Sus scrofa: one gene and its partner. The protein of the gene in region 1 purifies or fractionates together with the protein of each later gene. This does not show direct contact. Links are inferred from orthologs where the notes say so. Each region holds a gene or a part of one and is shown in the gene's direction. Other genes may lie near its edges.

Region 1 (3,826 bases):
TGCGACCTACACCATAGCTCATGGCAATGCTGGATCCTTAACCCACTGAGCAAGGTCAGGAATTGAACCTGCAACCTCATGGTTCCTAGTTGGATTCGTTTCCGCTGCACCACAACGGGAACTCCTGGGAGGGAATTTTGTGTTCTGAATAGTACTCAGGTCAGCTGCAGTGAAACTGTGATAGAGCATCTTTAATAACTCAAGACTTTATCAGTTGTTACATTTGTGAAATTTCCTCCCCTTCACGGTCCTCCTGGTTTGCCTGTAGTTCAGCAAATACATCTAGGCATCCCAGTCATGCTTAGAAGTATTTTAACACACTGCAAAACATTTTTCTTAAGTCATACTCACTGGGAGGAATTGGGACTGGGAAGGCAGAGAGAAGAGTGGAATTTTCTCTCAATTTGCATTTTTTTGTCCCTTGGCTCTATAATAGCAATTAAAGAAGGAAATTTAGAATTCTGCGAAAGATTAACAAAGTATTCCTGAGTTTGATTTATAGTTAGGCATCCTTCTTAAACCAAGGTGATGATGGTTAAGAAAACTTTATGTCAATGTGCTGTTGTTAATGCAATTCAGTTAAATTTGGGAGGTGAACGTAGGTTTGAAAGATATATTATTGAAATGAGTAAGGTTATGTATGGAAACTTACAAAGTTTTTCCTGTTGTTCAGTAGTCCGCCTCTCTCTTTTTTAAAAATTTCAGATGCATTTGAAAATGAGATGGCAAAGAAAGTTAAACTTCAGAATGTCTTGTCCCAACTTCGAAAGTGTGTGGATCACCCATATTTGTTTGATGGTGAGGCAGTGCCCTTTTTTCTCCTATTACTTTTCATTGTCATTTCTGTGGCCAACCTAATAGCAAAATTCTTCAAAAGATTTGCCTTTTTTACTGTCTGTTTCCCCAGATTTTCTCATTAATTTTTTTGTATGAATGTTATCTAATGTTCATATTTCTTCAGTTGTGCCCTTTATGACTTTGTTTTTCTTTTTTCTTTTTATATTCAATATGTAGTTATAGATCCTACACTACATTTATCATGTCTCTTTATTTTCCTATAAATCTGCAAATATTCCTCAGCTTTTTTTTTTTTTTTTTTTTTTTTTTAATTCTGCCTTGTCTTCCATGAAACAGACAGTCTTAAAGAATCAAGGTTGGTTGTTTTATGAGATGTCTCATAATATGGATTTATCTGATCATTTCTTTTTAAGTAGATGTCTCTTTGTCTTGAAACCCACTCATTGAGCCTTTTGTCACTGCCATTCCTAGTTCACCAGTGGTCTCTGCATAGCTCAACTAATGTTTTTCAGTTCATGTTTTAATTTACCTCTCAAAACCTTTGAAGCAAATAATTACCTCTTTTTTTTTTTTTTCTTCAGTTTTTTCTTTTTCACGGCCACACCTGTGGCATCTGGAAGTTTTTGGGCTAGGGGGTGAATCAGCTACAGCTGCCAGCCATAAGCCACAGCCGCATGGGATCTGAGCCACATCTGTGACCTATACTGCAGCTTGCAGCAGTGTTGGATCCTTAACCCAGTGAGCAAGGCCAGGGGTGGAACCCACATCATCATGGAGACTTGAGCTGAGTTCTTAACCCACTGAGCCACAATGGGAACTCCTAATTGATCACTTCTTGACATACTTTCTTCCTTTAGCTTCTGGGACAATACTTTCTTCTTTTCTACCTTCCTTATACCTACTCCTGTCAGCCTCCTTTATTGCTTCCCTTTCATCTTACGGATATCTGTAAATTTCCCACTAAGTGCTACATTAGCTGCATTCTACACATATTGATATGTAGTACTCTCATTCATACTGGGTTTTTAAATTGTTTTTATTCACACTGATTGGTCGCCTATGGGACAGTTCCAGGCTTCTGTGTCTGTGAGAGCTCTAGGATTGGTATCATCAATGTAGAGGGTTTGTTGTAGTCATTTTAAGGAAATCTTTACCAGGCAGCACTATGAGTTGTTTTAAAATATCAGTGAATCTTAATGAGGTGCATATCAGAGCCCCCCCCCCTTTTTTGAAGAAGGGGGTTGTTGTGAACATGTAGATTTTGGAAGAAGCCCTCCAGGTTATTCCCCTACTCCCACTTTGAGAATTACTAGTTTATACATCTAAGCATATTTCTTGATTTGTTTTCTAGGGTGAGCATCTCAAGATTTCAGTTTCTGGTCTCTGGTCCTTAGCATCTCCCTATGCCTCAGTTTCCTAGAGAGTGGGTTTGTTTCTTGGATAAGCATTTGTTAGGCTTTTGGGGTGTGCCGGGCTCTGTGATAGATGTTAGGCAGTGCTGAGATTATCATTGCAAACAGATAATTATGAAGTGCCTTCAAAGAGGCATGAGACTTGGGCCCTTTATCACTTAGAAGCAGCTTGGCCTCTCTGTAGCCCAGCCATCAGCTTCTCTGTTCAGAGTCTACCCTGACTGGGAACATGTTTACTGGGAGTGAGTTCTTCCTTTTCCAGGTGTGGAACCAGAGCCTTTTGAAATTGGAGACCACCTCATTGAGGCCAGTGGGAAACTTCACCTGCTGGACAAGCTGCTGGCGTTCCTGTATTCCAAGTAGGTGGTAGATTTGTATTGAGCTGGTGGCTGTTAAAGCCAGAATAATGAGCAACTTGCCAACTTCTTGAGCCTAATCCCAGTTCTCCTTTTTTCAGGACTCTGATCTTTGTCCTCACTTCTCTGTAACTGTACCCCTACCCCATTCCATTCGATCCCATGCCACCCTCTCTGTAATCATCCTTTCCTGTGCTGAATTCCCCCAGCACTTAGGATCCGTATGCAACACTTGGCAGTGCACTGCCTTAATCTGCTTATCTGCTCGATTGCTGTGTATTAACCATATCACTACAGATGTATTGTTTAGTTCAGCAAAGACATCAATTATTTCTTTTTTAATTGCCTGCTGATAACCTTGTTTTGAATTGGCTCATAGTAGGTGCTTAGTAAATATTCACTTTTGTAACTTGTGGGGATTAGTTTGAATTCCCTGAGACATGATTTGGGCCTCGGAAGACCGAGTCAATTCTGGAGCCTCTAAAGCTTCAGCTGAGTATTCATTGGCCTGGTGTCCAGCCTGTATCAGATCTTCCTGGTCCCCAGAGGGGCAGAGGAGTCTAGAAAAATCCAAGTTTCCGAAGAATCTCAAAGTTGTCCCTTTGGGATAACTGACCGAAGTAGGGCTGAACCAACCTAAAACCTCAGAGTTGACAAAAGCATCCAGCATTAGGCATGTACAAGTAAAATAATTGCATGTCTTACTCTATTTCATTGGTCATGATATATCTGCAATAGGTGTCTTAGTGTAAGAGAAAGACCCATATCTTCTTTCCAACCTTTTCATTTCACAGGTCTTAAAGCAGGCCCAGAGAGATTGTATGATTTGTTTAAGGTCACACAGCCATCAAATGACAAACTTAAAATAATAATAAAATAATATCTGATGTCTGATAACATGAGGCTCTAAGCTTGACTTTGTATGTAATCCATTTTGCCTCCTCCTTTCCTATCTCCTCTCCCTATGTAGGTTTTCTCATGTGGCATATGGCATATGAGGTACCACCTGCCCCTTGCTTCTCTAAAGTGACGCTTCTCAGAATTTTTAACCAATAATGCTGTAGAATGAGAGGATAATGACTTTTACTCCCAAGTATCGAATGTAGCTGTAGATGGCTGATCACCTTTTCAGGGTCTCCAGTTTTGTTTTTTGTTTTTTTGTTTTTCATGCATTTGAATTTTGTATTTTACTCTTTGCATATATTTATTCTTTTTGCTGTTAAAAGCATGTATTTCTTTCCATATAATAATTGACATCTT
Region 2 (3,826 bases), on another chromosome or scaffold:
CTTTTCCCATAGCTTATCAATACTATACAAGAACCATGATTAGACCTAGGTTCTTTTCACAATGTTTTAAATCAGTTTCGATAACATTTTAAAGTTGCATACTATTTCTTAAAAAAACTGTCAAAACGCCTAAGTTATTAGTCTAAAAGAAGTCATGCTGATAGTATCTTCTTAAGAAATTTGAACTGTTGGATATTAAATAATACTAAAACTAGCTCTTTCCAGAAGACAGCCAGAATACATGAGTTCATAGTTATACATAGGGGTAAATGTTCACGTCTATCAATTATGTTGTCATCACATCCTGGAAATGGTTACCAAGATGACTGGGGTTTATCTGAGCAGTTTCCACTCCACATCAAATATAAGTAATTAAGAGGTCATTTTTAATAGGGTAAGACCAGGCTTACTCTTTGTACTTGTGGTAAGTACACATTAAAAAAGTTCTGTCTTGCTAGTGAAAATATTTACTTGACTCAAAATATCTTTAATTGGTTAAACTGAAACTGTTATTCATATTACTTCAGAGGAATCATATTTATTTTCTAAGTTGGTCATAACATAGACTTCATGCAAATTTTTTGTGAGGGAGGAGCAATTTCATCATTCAGCTATAAGAAAAAATCGTGATTATATTTAGAGGGTAGAAATAAAATGTTAAAGTAACTTATAGGACATTATAAGAAAACTGCATGATAAGAATTTGACATATTGTTGAACAGGTAATTTAAGAGACATTTAAGGTTTTGGGGGCAAAGGTTATATTTAAATGAAAGCAAATTTATAGTTTTCTGATTACTTTTCACTGATGTTTGACACAATTGTAAAGATTTCATGTAACTGTGAACTCCTTTTCTAATACTTGTAGATTATTTCAAAGTTAACAAACTAGAGACATAGAAAATGGTATTTTAATAACTTTAAAATATGAATCAGGAGTTCCGTCATGATGCAATGGAAACAAATCTGACTAGGAACCATGAGGTTGCAGGTTCCATCCCTGGCCTTGCTTAGTGGGTTAAGGATCTGTGTTGCTGTGAGCTGTGGTGTAGGTGGCAGATGCGGCTCGGATCTGGAGTTGCTGTGGCTGTGGTGCAGGCCGGCAGCTGTAGCTCTGATTAGACCCCTAGTCTGGGAACCTCCATATACCACGGGTACAGCTCTAAAAAGCAAAAAAAAAAAAAAAAGGATAAAAAATTTTAAATATACATATTGCACGAATGTTGTAGTTTCACACTTTTACGCTTAAATTTACATTATTTCTTTTGAAACATGCTTTACTTTTTATTTTTCTGATTTGTCTTATAGGAAATGCCACAATCACGTTTTACAAACACATTACACAATACAGAAGTGAATAAAGTGAAAACTAATACACAGAGAAATGAAACCCCGGTAGAGGAACTTGGTGAGGTTTCTGAACAAAAAATCACTGCTAAGGGAACACCAAATAAAGTCGACAAGGTGAGGAGCTGTGCTGAGAGCTGTTCAAGTGCCCAAGGCACATCCTCCCTGGACGAATCTCAAAGGTCTCATCCTGAGTCCAGCTCTCATCCTTTCAATCCTGAAACTTTGCATGCAGAGGCAACCAGGTCAGTTCCACAGGGTTCTGAAGAAAACAAGCTCAAGAGGACATCTTGCATGTATGGGGCAAACTGCTACAGGTAAAATGAAATTACGGGTAGCATATAATTCCATCATTTCAATAGCAGATAGCTATGCAGATATATGCTATAGTGTGTTAAAGGCCTAATAAAACCCAATAGGCTAAAGGTTAGGAGTTTTTATCATGTGTCTGCTCATTTGTACTTTCTCAATATGCATTCTAGCAAATCCTGCTAGAGGCTTTTAAAATAATAGTGAGGAATTAAAAGTTTCATTTGTGGATATGCTAATTAATGCAAGGATCTGAACTGGGGGATTCAGACTTGAAAACAGAATCACTCAGACCTTAAATACATGCTTATTTAATGTCTTATTTAGATGTTAGAAAGATGGGCTTCAAAAATAGTTGTATGTAAAATAATTCTCAAGAAAATTATTGGTTGTGTTTAGGTATCTTACTATACTGGTGAGGTTTTTTTTGGATTTTGTTTTGTTTTGTCTTTTGTCTTTTTAGGGCCGAATCCGCGGCATATGGAAGTTCCCAGGCTAGGGGTCTAATCAGAGCTATTGCTGCTGGCCTATGCCAGAGCCACAGCAATGCCAGATCCGAGCCACATCTGCGACCTATACCACAGCTCATGGCACTGCCGGATCCTTAACCCACTGAGCAAGGCCAGGGATTGAACCTGCAACCTCATGGTTCCTAGTCGGATTCATTTCCACTGTGCCAAGATGGGAACTCCTTGTTCATATTTTTCTAATGGTGCTTTTGAATCACCATGATGCCTTCTAAAACAACTGAATATATATTCTTTGAATTGATTGGTTACTCCCATACTTCATTTAGTTACCTGGTACCATATTTTTTGATTTCATACTTTGTGAATTCAAACTAATTCCTTATTTGTAGTCTCTTGTTCCTCTATGTTTGTACTGACATGCTGATAAATACATAGCTGTATTTCAGAATTATTTCTGTGCCATTACAGCTCATCAAACCAAGTGTCTTATCAATACATTCTAGTACAGGTTGTCTTTTATGCAATAGCATGCTTATGTCACATATTCTCTTAATTTTTCATTCATGTCTCTCTTTAAAATGCAATGCCATTTAGGAAGTTCCCCTGTGGCACAGTGGGTTAAGGATCTGGGTGTTGCCGCTATTGTGGTGCAGGTTGCAACTGCAGCATGGGTTCAATCCCTAGCCTGAGAACTTTCACATGCTGTGAGTGCAGCCAAAAAAAATGCAGTATCATTTAGTACTTGAGTAACGATATTGTTCAATTTCAACAATTATAATTTATGCATCTATTGACAGTTTTATCTATCTGCTGTGGCCTTAGGTCTGCATGTGGAACATAATTTATAAACTTGGGGAATGGAAGTATAAACTTTCTGTTATTTTGGATTTCTGAAAAATCCTGTTTGATATTTGTATTAGTTTACTGTGGCTGCCATAACAAAATACTATGGACTGGGTGGCTTAAATTGCTGAAATTTATTATCTCACAGCTCTGGAGTCTGGAAGCCCGTGATCAAGGTGCTGGCCGGTTTGGATTCTCCTGCAGTCTCTTTCCTGGGCTTGCAGATGGTGCCTTCTCATGTCCTCACATGGCCTTTTCTCTGTTCATGCACATCCTGGGTGTCTCTTTCTCATCTGATAACGACATCAGTCAGTTGGATCAAGGCCCTACCCTTATGACCTTATTTAATGTGAATTAGCTCTTTAAAGGCCTTGTCTCCAAATATAGTCACATTAGGGGTTAAGGTTTCAGCATATAAATGTGTAGGGTTGGGGAGGTATGACACAATTCAGTCCCTAACAGTGTTGGGCTTGTATTTGTCTTTGTTAAATGTGATTGAGTATTTTATCAAGATTATACTGAATTCATTCATATTTGATGATGATACATGTTAGTTTTAATCAGTCATAGCTTATGAATAGTTATTTTACTTTTTCACTGATTTTCATATGCATAATTAATACCTGAGAAACATTTGCCATTGAAATCTTAAATCTTGAAGACAAAATGTTTATATTTGTAACAAAGGGGGAAAATAACCTATTTTGAGTACTCGTTATGTATGTACATCATAACAATCAGTTAAATGTGTCTTTTCTCCAGCCTCAATGCCATGTCTTAGCTCATACCATGACCTCTCTGGGACAAGTCATCACACTTGCCTTCAAGTTCATATTTTTTCTTCATTGTTGCCTGAG

What was found.
Region 2: the proteins of CHD1L (region 1) and APLF purify together in Homo sapiens (affinity purification with mass spectrometry; 4 studies listed by BioGRID and IntAct, counting the BioPlex papers as one, with this or other methods). This does not show direct contact. The link is inferred for Sus scrofa from reciprocal best matches to the Homo sapiens genes CHD1L and APLF.

What each region holds. Positions count from the first base shown.
Region 1 is NC_010446.5:100,295,401-100,299,226, reverse strand, and holds part of CHD1L (chromodomain-helicase-DNA-binding protein 1-like), read left to right. Parts: intron 1-705; coding exon 706-798; intron 799-2,472; coding exon 2,473-2,569; intron 2,570-3,826. UniProt on the Homo sapiens protein: ATP-dependent chromatin remodeler that mediates chromatin-remodeling following DNA damage.
Region 2 is NC_010445.4:73,786,086-73,789,911, reverse strand, and holds part of APLF (aprataxin and PNK-like factor), read left to right. Parts: intron 1-1,308; coding exon 1,309-1,664; intron 1,665-3,826. UniProt on the Homo sapiens protein: Histone chaperone involved in single-strand and double-strand DNA break repair.